Rattus norvegicus: one gene and its partners. Each later gene encodes a partner of the first gene's protein in a complex. Links are inferred from orthologs where the notes say so. Each region holds a gene or a part of one and is shown on either strand. Other genes may lie near its edges.

Region 1 (3,641 bases):
GCTGGTGCTTACAACACCCTCTTCTCCTTTCTAGTTACTCCCGAGGCGTGGCGTGTGATGATGTCCCTTAAATCCGGTCTGTTGGCTGAGAGCACGTGGGCTTTGGACACCATCAACATTCTCCTCTATGATGACAGCACTGTCGCCACCTTCAATCTTTCCCAGGTGAGGCAGCTGCACACAGCTGGCAACAAGTTGGCGTGTTCTAAAATGGAGTATGCATAATGCTAAGCTGGTGCCTAAGGTGCTGTGCAGCCAGCATCCAAGACTGAATCTCTGTAGTTAGTGTAAAGCAGCACTAGTCAATACGTAGTTGTCTGGGTACTCACTCTGGGATAGCAACTAATTTCTATCTTCAGGGTACATCATGTGAGGTGTGAGTGTGTGTCTGTGTGAGTGTGTGTCTGTGTGAGTGTGTGTCTGTGTGAGTGTGTGTGTGTCTGTGTGTGTGTCTGTGTGTGTGTGTGAGTGAGAGAGAGAGAGAGAGAGAGAGAGAGAGAGAGAGATTGAGACTGTTTCAATAGGAGTGATTAAACCCTAACGTGGAACTGATCTATTACAGAAAGTACTTCTCAGTGCAACTTAGTATCTTTCTATTGATGTTACTGTTTTTCAATCATTTGTTTGAGGCAGGGTCCAGCCTGAGCCAACTGTGTGATGTTGAGCCCCTGCTGCCACATGCTGTGGTTGTAGGGAGCACCACCACATCCCATGCTGTGTCTTTTTCCCCAGTGGAAAGTATGTAACACATTTCATAGCACAGATCTCATTGGCCATGTCCCCGTCTCGTTAGAATGACCAGGGACTTCTAGCCATGCCTGCCTCCAGGTCACCTCCCCACATCTGCCTTCTCCGGGTCATCCTAAAGTCCTCACTTGAAACCCTGCTTCTTCCGTCATCCAGGGAGCACCCCACCCTCACTCACCCCCAGTTCAGAGCTGGCCTTAAGGTAGCTTGTAACAATATGGCTAACAGCAGGAAGCCTGAGGAAGATGCCCCTGTCAGTGAGGTATGGGCTTTAACCTGATGTTCAGAATAAAAATGTGAGAGGCTTGTTCTCCCTGTGGGCTGTAAACAGCTCCTCACCTGAAGACACTAGGTTCTCTGCCTGCCGCTGAGATAAAGACCAGAACTTTCTACCACCCCCTTTCTTTCACTGAGTCTTCAGTGTAGACCAGAGGCAGCTCTCAGCTGGTGGACTGTGTTAATGGGTCAAAAACATTGCATGCCCTAATGATGGTATTTAAGATGTGTGCTTAAAATAATGTGTCCAGCCTTCTCGAGAACCTTCATCCTCTTAATAGATGAACTCTGGCCGGTTGTACATTTTTATGCCCAGAAGTGCTTGGTTAACTTGCCCTTTTCCCCAAGGAAGCTTATGACAGGGAGGGGGAGAATTCTTCCCCTGGGGAGAATACCTTCAGGACCACAAAAACTGCTTGGTATAGCTATGTGCGCTCACCCGGGACAGGCGTGCCCAGCCCTGGGAACAAAGAGGAGATGTGAGATTATGGTTGGTCTCACAGCATCTGTCATACAGAACCCACGCTGCATGTCCCTACAGCTCATGTAAGGCTGGCTGTGTGTGGAGTGAGTGATACAGACGGGAGCACTCGACTTTCCACAGGCAGACTCTGTCAATGGCTCTTGTCTTTCATTTAGCATTGTGAATAACTGAAATGTAAAATTGCATTTTATAAAGCACTTTAGTTCATTTATCAGGGACTAAATTGATTTGTTTATAATTTTCAGTCTTTATGAGCGACTACATTACTAAAATTATCTCCTCCAAAAGATATAGAAAGAACGTAAATCAGGACAACCTATGGTACCTGAGACAAAAATAACCATAAAAATCCTAGGAATAATAACCATAAAAACCCCAGCAGGCGATTCCCAGATAAATAGTAGAGGAGCAAATAGATTCACTTTGGGTGCAAGAGTCTATAAAACCCTCGCTCCTGCTCCTCACAGTGTACTCCCTAAATCATGCAGGCCGAGAGAGTGGGGAGCTCTGCACACACTGGAGCCATGGCTGGGGAAAGCTGGGGCCAATGCTGGCAGCGCCAGCTGGCAGTGAACTGGAGGAGACACACTTGTGCACCCTTAGTCCATCCTCGGGAAGGTAGCTCTCAGACGCGTGGTGTGCCCTCTAGGGTCAGGGCAGAAGGACATTAGAACAGTGTGAAGTCTCTACCCAAGGCCCCTCTGTCAGAGCTGGTGTCCTGACCTGTACCTGCTCTCTCCCCTCTCTAGCTGTCGGGGTTCCTGGAACTACTAGTGGAGTACTTCCGAAAGTGCCTAATTGACATTTTCGGTATTCTGATGGAATATGAAGTGGGTGACCCCAGCCAAAGGGCGCTTGATCACCGCACAGGGAAGAAAGACGACAGCCAGTCCTCGGAGGACGACTCTGGGAAAGAAGAAGATGATGCCGAGTGTCTGGAGGAGGAGGAGGAGGAGGAGGAGGAAGAGGAGGAGGAGGAAGAGGAGGAGGAGGAAGAGGAGGAAGACAGTAAAAAGACAGAGTCAGAGGGCAAGAGCAGCTCTGCCCTAGCTGCTCCAGACACCACTGCGGACCCCAAGGAGACGCCGAGGCAGGCCAGTAAGTTTGACAAGCTGCCCATAAAGATTGTCAAGAAGAACAACCTGTTTGTGGTGGACCGGTCCGACAGGCTGGGTCGGGTTCAAGAGTTCAACAGCGGGCTCCTCCACTGGCAGCTGGGTGGTGGCGACACCACTGAGCACATCCTCACTCACTTCGAGAGCAAGATGGAGATCCCTCCTCGCAGGCGTCCACCTGCGCCTCTCAGCTCCACGGGTAAGAAGAAAGAGCTGGCAGGCAAGGGCGATTCTGAAGAGCAGCCAGAGAAAAGCATCATAGCCACCATTGATGATGTCCTGTCTGCCCGACCAGGGGCCCTGCCGGAAGACAGCAACCCCGGACCCCAAACCGAGAGCGGCAAGTTTCCCTTTGGAATCCAGCAGGCCAAAAGCCACCGGAACATCAGGCTCCTGGAGGACGAGCCCAGGAGCCGAGACGAGACTCCCCTGTGCACCATTGCGCACTGGCAGGACTCCCTGGCCAAACGCTGCATCTGTGTGTCTAACATCGTGCGGAGCTTGTCTTTCGTGCCTGGCAACGACGCAGAGATGTCCAAACATCCGGGCTTGGTGCTGATCCTAGGAAAGTTGATTCTGCTGCATCATGAGCATCCGGAGAGAAAACGGGCGCCACAGACCTATGAGAAGGAGGAGGATGAGGACAAGGGGGTGGCCTGCAGCAAAGATGAGTGGTGGTGGGACTGCCTCGAGGTCTTGCGGGATAACACACTGGTCACATTGGCTAACATTTCCGGGCAGCTAGACTTGTCTGCTTACACAGAGAGCATCTGCTTGCCGATCCTGGACGGCTTGCTGCACTGGATGGTGTGCCCGTCTGCAGAGGCACAGGACCCCTTTCCCACTGTGGGGCCCAACTCAGTTCTATCGCCACAAAGACTTGTGCTGGAGACACTGTGTAAACTCAGTATCCAGGACAACAATGTGGACCTGATCTTGGCCACACCTCCATTTAGTCGTCAGGAGAAATTTTATGCTACATTAGTTAGGTACGTTGGGGATCGCAAAAACCCAGTCTG
Region 2 (4,381 bases), on another chromosome or scaffold:
ATGGAAAAAAGCTAGCAAGATGAAAAGGGACCCAGAGTCTAAGGCACAGCCCTACACGGGGTGGCATGAAAGAAACCTGAGCTGGCTTCTTCCCAACACCGTTACTACTGCTACTTATCCCCAGGCTCAAGAGGAAATCTTTCTGTGACCAGTTTCTGTAGGGGGCGTCCGTGATGTTGCCTTTTTAAGACGAGAGAGAGCGCTTGCACACGGAGAAAATGCTAATGTGGCTTGGAGCTCCCTCATTGTCAGGAGGGGCACACAAGGATAAACACGTAAGCTCTCCAAACCATTCCCCTCACTCTTCCTCCTCCTCCCTGCGCCCCCATCCATCCCTTCGGCTGGATGCGTTGCTCTGCTTTGTTCTAATTTAGCCCATGCATAATTTATTCACGTGTGTTTTGTTTCCTGGTCAGCAACTTCTAAAAACAAATGAAATGTATAGGATGTTTTATTAAACAAGTTGTTTTTAAAATAATAATAATAATGATAAAAGCAGATGGCCTCGGTCTCCCAGTAACGATGTGTGTGTGCTCCTGCGTGCGGAGTTTTGAAAATGTCCAGGGTGCAAAAAGCTTGGCTGATTGGGGTTATTGTTTACACCCTTAGTCCTCAGGGGAAGAGGATGGGATACAAAAGGGGATGGCTAATTATAAGTGACCACTGGACTTCCTCTGAGGAAAGGGCAGGCAGGGGTGTTGTGGGTGAGCGCCCCTGTGCGTGAGCCAAGACGGAGTTACAAATGCATCCCACGGCAAGTGTTTCCAATTATTAAGGGATACAAGGATAATTCAGAACTAATTCTATCAACCGAGATTGACCACCTTCTAGCTTCTCTGTTCCTTCTCCCCACAATTTCCAATACACGCACGCTTCTGTGTCAAAAAAAAAAAGTGAAAAGATCTGGGGAACCCTGGAGCGTGGAGCTCCTGCGCGCGCCCGAGCGTAAGCCCGCTCCCGGGCACCAAGGATGCCGCTTTCCCAATGAGGAACCCCGTACACATAGCAAATAGATCTCTCAGACCTGAGTTTACCAAGCAGCATCAGCTCTGCTACGTGATTTCGACTGGAAATGAGGAAATTGCAAATCAGCTGTGTGGGTTTTGGAGAAACTCACGGCACCAGCGGTGTGGTGGCGGGAGTCGGCGAGGACGCGGCGAAGTTACGCCCATTTATTCTGCCATAAAACATTTTTTTCCCCTCTCAGGTTAAACGCTGTCGCGAGTGCAAAGTAGCTGAGCTTCCGAGCGGGAACCGGAGCCAGGAACTCGCATCAAGCTCAGCCCCTGTCTTTACCGCAGTATCTCGTGGAAACTCCGAGATCTGGGACATCCCTGCCCTATTCCTGGTTGTTGGCTGGTGCAAACGCAGCGGGTTCTCCCTACGCGTTTCTTGGCACTAGGAATCACACACACACACACACACACACACACACACACACACACACACACACACACTCGCCGCCGCCCTGCTGCTCCCCAAAGCGAACGGTGTTTTCGACTCCCGGAGCCAGGGCTTAGGACGCTGTAGCGCGCAGTTAAAAGCCAAGATCGACCACTGACACAGACCGGGAAGAATTGGTACTAAACACCCACGCGCACCCTCCGATTCCCAGAGGCTTTCATCAGGGCGTGAAGTCCTAGTACACTCGGCACCCACCCGGTGCCCACGCCGCGCCGCGATTCCCAAGGATCCACCCTCTGCCAACATCCCTGCCAATAGCGCCCCTTGAGAGCCACACTAGTTTTCCCAGGCCACCCCCAGCTCCACGATCACCCGCAGACTTGGCGGCTTCATATTCAGTCCACCGACTGGAAGGAAGGAAGGAAGGAAGGAAGGAAGGAAGGAAGGAAGGAAGGAAGGAAGGAAGGAAGGAAGACGGGCAGGCAGGCAGCTCCGATCGGAACCGGCCCCCGCGAGTCCTTGCGCAGCCCGCCCCCCTCTGTCCGCTCAAAGTCTCCGGGAGGCACCTGCCCCTCGCTGTCGCCAGAGCCCTACACCGCCGCCTCCGCCGCCTCAGCTTTTCACCCAGAGCAGGCGAGCACACCATTAATAAGACCTGCAGTTTCCCCGTCTCCATATCAACCTCAAGTTAACCCAGATCGTTAATTTACTAGAGCCAGTTAGCCTACAAATACACAGACACACCGGCGACCGCCCGGAGCGCCCGCCTGATCCCCGGCTGCCGGAGTGGAAAAGCCCGGGGCAAGCACCTGGGCCCCAGGACTCCCGGGACCCGCCGCTCCGCGCGCCGTCCTCCCAACTCCGGAAGGTTTACACAAACTCCCTGGGAGAGCTCGGAAGGCAGAGCGAACGCCCTGCAAAACTCCGCAGCCGCTGCGGTCGGTCTGCCCGCCCCGGTGGACAAGCAGCGGGGCCGGGGAAGCTCCGGCTTGGAGCGCAGGGCATAGCAGAGCGCAGGACGCGGCCCCTGCCCCGCGCTCCGGCCGGACTCAGCCAGCCCCGCGCGGCGCCGGGAGAGGCAGGGGACTCCGGGGACCGTGAAGACCCGAGCTGCACACGACCCCCGCAGCTCCGGAGCCGGCGCCGGCGCTCTGTGCTCCCTCCCGGTCCGGGTCAGCCAATTAAGCAGAACACAAATTTAACAATTTTCTTTTTGTTAATTGCATCTCCTGACATTTCTGCGCGCTGGGAGGAAAAAAGATGAAGAAGTAAGAGCAGGAAGAAAAGAGGAGCCCGGGCGCAGCGGGAGGCGTCTGCGAGAGCCGAGCGCCGGCTGCGCTCCGCAAGGCGCCTTTTTTTCATATTGAAACCACGCGGAATATGTACATTTTTTAGTCTTACTTACGCTTTCAGGGGGTTGTGAATGACAGTCGCCATTTTGCTACAATGTAACAGAATATTGTCTGTCTCAGAGTTCTAAAGGTTCGCTCAGGGGAAGCGGCAGGCCAATCAGAGCACGGGATACCGGTCTGCCGGCCAATCGGCGCGGCTGGTCGCCAAGTGGGCGGAGCCTGCGTGGTGGTAGTTATTAGGGGAGCTGTCAAAGCCCAGAGGTCACTCCCTTTTGTAGAGCCCGAGAGCGAGCAGGTCTTAAAGGGGCAGTACCGTGTTAGTAGCGCCCTTTCAAATAGGGACTAGTGGAGATACATGGGAGAGCAATCTCGCTTAGTTTGAGTCCCTACTTTACTAAATAACCGCAGAGTTTGCGCTCCTGGACAAGAATATTTACATAATGCCAACAAAAATGCTGAATCCCATTCATTAGCTTTGGGCTTTGTATATCACGGTTTTAACCCCCGAGTCTCGGGTACACCACTGTGTTACAAGTGCAAAAAGTTGGAAGGCTGCAGTTTCCTCCAAGAAATTACTACTGTGCTCCACTCTTTGCTAAAAATGCTCTGGGTTCTGCCGCTGTTCAATTTTCTTGTTCCCGAAGTGTTTTCTTTATCTCACCCACCTTCCTCGGTCGGTTTCTGAGAACGGGAGAGTCCAGGGCAGCAACTCCCTTCCCCCTGGAATGTCTCAGCCATGGTTTTTTGTTACGTAATTCACAGGTGGTCACTCTGCACGGTCCCCTACGACCACCGTTCTCCACTGTCGACGATTTCGAAGATCTGACACGACCAGCTTGGGAACGAAGTGAGACCTGGCACCTTTTAGGCAGAAGGCTGGGGAAGATTTGAGGCAACTTTAGGAAACGCAGCTAGGGAAGCCAGTAACTAGGCAGAAATTGTTAGAGCCTGACAATTGTAGGTGTTGCTAGAGTCCCCTCCGGGAATGGCTCTGCGAATCCAGGCGTCACCTTTCTGGACTAAGATAGGAGGTGAAAAGAATCTGCAAGTGAATGTTCAGACGTGACTGGAGGCTTCCCCAGTCTTCGGCTGCTTAGAGTCTGGTGAACCCCTGAAGAAACTAAGACTTCTGCGAACTCAGGCTTCCACGGAGCACAGGGAGACTCAGACTGGGCGAAAACGCACGAAATCACATAGAGTCCAGAGACTCTATCGTTAGCATATAGAAGTCTGGCTATCCCCTGGCTGTTTAATCAGGTCAAATAGCAGAGAGCTGGAGAGTGAAAAGGAAACCGAGAGATGCTGAATTGCAGTTCACAATTCCACCTGCTCTCGCCTTTTACGACTCTCCATGAATAAAGTAAAATACAATCACAAAGCAGTTCGGAACTTTCAGATTCCAACTCCATTCACTATTAGAGTTACAGATAAGCCCAGCAAAGCTGAGTGAGTCCGTGTGTGCAGACTGGAAATATTTAACTCTTTGTTTGCCTAGTAGGGTGATGTTCTCCCCCACCCTCTCTTCTCATTACAGAGTCTCACGATTAGGAAGCTGTTTTTGATGCACTGTAAAGAGAACCAGGTGTGATAGTGCTCCCTTAAAGTTCAAAACCAGCCTGGACTAC
Region 3 (4,412 bases), about 45 Mb from region 1:
ATTTGAATAGGATACATACAGACACATATGCGGGACATGCAGATAGATGGCCAGCCACACGAAGGAACACAGCCAACCTTTGAGTACAGCTGGACACACAGAAGAGATACGATTAAGTCCTTGGATACAGAGATACTCAGGAAGAGACAGGCAGAGCCTCAGAGAAATCTGGGCCTTCGTTAATTAGGAAGACACAGGCAGGCCACGTGATACACCTGGACACTCAGAGACAACCCCAAGGAGAAGCACTCAAATGTGGTCACACACTTGCACAGAGAAACACAGTCTGACATACACCGGAAATCACAGCCAGTCAGCACTTCCAGTACTCCTGATACAAGCAAACCTTCACACACACATTTGGACAGAGGACGAGACCAATGTCTGCCTTTCCAGAACACACTGGAAAACTCCAGAAGAAACACCTAACCCAGAAAGGCTCTCACAGACACTACCCTAACAGGATGCGCTGACAGAATCACATAGAGCCCAGAAAAAGCTAGGTACGCACAGACCTACCACCCACACACAATCAAATACACACTTTCTGATACATATTCTCTCTTGGAAACACCTAGAAAGGAACAGGCATTCTAAAACACTCAAGCAGTGAATACAACTAGACACCCTTAACTCAGTGGCTCTCAACCTTCCTAAAAGTGTGACCCTAAATTTAATACAGTTCCCCATGTTGTGGTCACCCCCAGCCATAAGATGATTTCGTTGCTACTTTGTAACAGTAATTTTGCTACAGATACAAATCGTGAATGTAAATAGGTTATGCGGGGTCTTGACCCACAGCTGGAGAACTGTGGCTAACTCTTAACACATACACGGTGAGACAGCCCTCAAGCACCCACAGAAAGAAACACTGCCAGACACGGGTGTGTCCCAGCTCACTCAGAAACACGTACAGTCAGACTTGATACATCTAGACATGGATAACACCGCGTCCTCCATACACCTGCTCGTCCTGACCCACATAGCAGGTACAGCTGGCAGCTCAGGAACTCAAAGAAAGTAACTCAAGACATCCAGGGACAGATACCCTGCTGTGAAGACACTCAAGATAATAAAGACGAAGTTCAGACAGTTCAGACGGGCAGCAGGGGGGGTTGAAGGCCTTGACTGGGGCCACAGCAAGCGCAGGGGACACAGCTCCACCCACCGATCTTGTACTCGCAGGGCCGGAGCCTGGGGTCCTCCAGGATGTTGAGTCTCCGTTTCTTCCTCCAACAGCGGGCGGGGTAAGTGTAGATCTGTCCTGGGGCCAAACCTAGAGGAGAGAGGCTGTGAGAGTGAGGTCCCTGGACGCAGGCCCCGCCCCGCCCCAGCCTCGCGGCGGGTACCAGGCCCGCGGTGGGTCTTCTCCATCCAGATGTAGCAGTTGTTCTGAGCCACGCCGGTCTGAGAGTCGAGGAAGGGCAGGCGCAGGCTGCGCTCGGCACACAGGCGCGCGTTGTAGCTGCGGCAGTGCTCGATGGCCTCCCGGTAGAAGTCCTCGCCAAGGCTGCGGGGGCGGGCGAGCAGTGGGCGGGCGGCTGTCAGCAAGGGCTGGTGCGAGGAGGCCCAGCACCCTCCCCCGCGGCCCGTTCCCGCTGGTCCTCAAAGGGCAAGCCGACCAGGTCCACCTTCACCTCCCCCATCTCCTCCCACCCCTCAGGATCCGGGGGCGGGGCAGGGTGCAGGCAGGGAAGCAGTTACCTAAAACTTGATTATGTCTCGGGTTAAGAAGTATTCACAGACAATATAGAAACAGACCAAAACACACCGGGACCCGTCCACACATGTAGCCAAACATCCAATACAAACAAATCGCACATGGCCACACGGGATTCACACACAAAGAGAAACATATCCCAATATTCACAAAGGAGTAGCAAACAAATTCTCTCTGTCGCACAGCCGCACATCTCTTGCAGAACACAAATATTCCAAATTTTAAAAGAATATCCATAGAACTACCTATGAATGCCATGTATCCAGAGACCCCAGATGTGTCCAGAGGAAGATTATCCACAAAGCCCCACAACATGGAAACACACCACACAACACTCATCCCAACAGTCACACGTTGTCAAAAGATAGGGACCCTAGAATCATTTACATATGCGCTTACATATTCATCCAGAGACACTTCAGCCAAACACACAATACAAAGACATCACAGAGATTTATACAGGTACACATACACACATTCACACCCTCCGGGGAAAAACAAACCCAAATTTAAAATACATTCACAAACACAGGTACACCCCTTGGAAACAGAGGGACAGTCCGGTCTGCCTCTGTTCGTGCAAATATTTAGACCTATCCCTACAGCTCCCTATCCAGAGACACGGAACATAAATGGTGCAGTTTCACCAGACATGTGCACACACTTAGAGACCCAAATACTCAGATAGGTAGTGCAGAATAAAAGAAATCCTATACATACCCACACATTCAGCTACAAAACAAAAAGCAATGTATAAGTCTCACAACACACTCCACACCCCAAGACAAAGGTAGCGTGGGTTCGACTCGAGTGTACCCAGGCCCCATCTTCTCTAAATCATTTACCCTCTCTCAAACCCTAGCATCCCTGGGAGGGGACATGACCCCTTTCCCCTAAAAATCCTTGGAGACCCCTCCCCCACGCCCTCCACCCGTCCAGGAGCAACGCGTCGTACACCATTCTTGCCAGACACCCACAGTCACATACACTCGCACCCCCGCACGCGGTGACAGCCCCCTGACACCCCACCAGCCCCACCCCCAGCGGCCGCACACATACACACACACGCACTCGCAGCCACACAGACTCGCCCGCGCTGACTCCCCCGCCTCGCGCACGCCCGCACCACCTCAGGGGGCTGGGGATGACCGTGGCCATCTTGCTCCCCGGGTCCTGCCCCCAGCAGGTCCCTGCCGGGTCGGTCCTCCCAGCGGTCGGGCGGGCGCTGAGGCCGCCCATCCATTCATTCCCGGGGGGCGGGAGCACGAGGATCTCAACCAATCAGGTTGGCAGGGCGGGCCGCCCAGGCCATGCTGGGAGTGGTAGTCCCTAGCGGGTCCTCCGACCCAGAGGGATGGAGGATCACGCAGTGGTTCACACACGCTCACTCACATGCACTCCCAGCCCCACGTGCACAGACGCATGCACGCACACACGCGCACATGGCCGCTTACACACAGTCACACTACACTCGCAGACTTCCATTCACCCCACCTTCACGCACACCCAGCCACAGGCGCGGGGACCTCGCAGGTGCCCACCCGGCGGTGTCACCGGCGCGCCAGACGCCACCTGGCACTCCAAACTCTAGAGAATCCATCGTGACTGAGAGATAACTCTCGCGGCCACCTCACTACAGAACTGCCGTCATTCTTCTTGGGTTCAAATCCTCGCCGATAGGACTTCAGGCGCATTACTTAAGCTTTCTGGGCCTGTCTCGACGGACTGAAGATTACAGTAGTAACAGGGTAAGTGGCTGTTTTAAGGACAGCATCTTGCTGTTCAACCCAAGCTGGTCAATTCTGCTGCCTCTGTCTCTCCAAGTGCTGGAATTAGTGTGTGACTCCACACCACCAAGTGCTGGAATTAATCTCTGGCAGGTACTAATAAATTCACTTATTCCACAGAGAAGATATCTACAAAGAGGATCTGATATGTACCAAGACATAAAGTGGTAACATTGTTTTTTTTTTGTTTGTTTTTTTTTTTTTTTTTGGTTCTTTTTTTTCGGAGCTGGGGACCGAACCCAGGGCCTTGTGCTTCCTAGGTAAGCGCTCTACCACTGAGCTAAATCCCCAGCCCCGGTAACATTGTTATTAGGAAGAATTAGTAGCCTGCCTTAGTAGGTGTTCAACAAATATTTGTTGAGTGAATACTTAACACCTACTGTGCACCTAACACTCACTCCACGCTAAACCTTTACTAGTCTCATTTTCCAGAGGAGGACTTTGAGATCCTGAGGAAACCTTACCTGTTCGCAGCTCCTGACTGTTGTCTGGATGTAGGATTCGTGCGCCTGTCATCCATCCCTACAGGAGCCTCGTCTTCTTTTCTCTCCTACCATCACCCACAGTAAGAGATCCCCAGAGAATGAGCTGACCTACTGAGTCTCACACCACACACACACACACACACACACACACACACCACTCACTCACTCAGCCCCACCCTCTGGGGAATAACTTAGCATTCTGATTAGAGTGGCTGCATAAATTAGCATATCAAGTGTTAATACAAAACCACTCTTGTCCAGCAGGGGGCGGTCCACCCATCCTCACAAGTCTCAAGATCTCCCCGCACTTCAAACACACAATACATCTCAAGACTTAGCTCCTTTTTACAAATGTCCCCATCCGCCCACCCATATCAAATCATCCAAGGCCTTGACCCATCCGTTCCCCGGCACTGGTAT

Evidence for each region.
Region 2: Arid1b (region 1) and Dpf3 share a complex: the UniProt entries of both Homo sapiens proteins name them as parts of the neuron-specific chromatin remodeling complex. The link is inferred for Rattus norvegicus from reciprocal best matches to the Homo sapiens genes ARID1B and DPF3.
Region 3: Arid1b (region 1) and Dpf1 share a complex: the UniProt entries of both Homo sapiens proteins name them as parts of the neuron-specific chromatin remodeling complex. The link is inferred for Rattus norvegicus from reciprocal best matches to the Homo sapiens genes ARID1B and DPF1.

The regions. Positions count from the first base shown.
Region 1 is NC_086019.1:48,323,390-48,327,030, forward strand, and holds part of Arid1b (AT-rich interactive domain-containing protein 1B), read left to right. Parts: intron 1-34; coding exon 35-165; intron 166-2,256; coding exon 2,257-3,641. UniProt on the Homo sapiens protein: Involved in transcriptional activation and repression of select genes by chromatin remodeling (alteration of DNA-nucleosome topology).
Region 2 is NC_086024.1:108,853,763-108,858,143, forward strand, and holds the start of Dpf3 (zinc finger protein DPF3), read right to left. Parts: upstream 2,864-4,381; 5' UTR 2,842-2,863; coding exon 2,810-2,841; intron 1-2,809. UniProt on the Homo sapiens protein: Belongs to the neuron-specific chromatin remodeling complex (nBAF complex).
Region 3 is NC_086019.1:93,732,383-93,736,794, reverse strand, and holds the start of Dpf1 (zinc finger protein neuro-d4), read right to left. Parts: upstream 2,879-4,412; coding exon 2,850-2,878; coding exon of another isoform or gene 2,847-2,849; intron 2,663-2,846; exon of another isoform or gene 2,449-2,662; coding exon of another isoform or gene 2,441-2,448; exon of another isoform or gene 1,966-2,440; intron 1,959-1,965; exon of another isoform or gene 1,705-1,958; intron 1,511-1,704; coding exon 1,350-1,510; intron 1,277-1,349; coding exon 1,169-1,276; intron 1-1,168. UniProt on the Homo sapiens protein: May have an important role in developing neurons by participating in regulation of cell survival, possibly as a neurospecific transcription factor. Belongs to the neuron-specific chromatin remodeling complex (nBAF complex).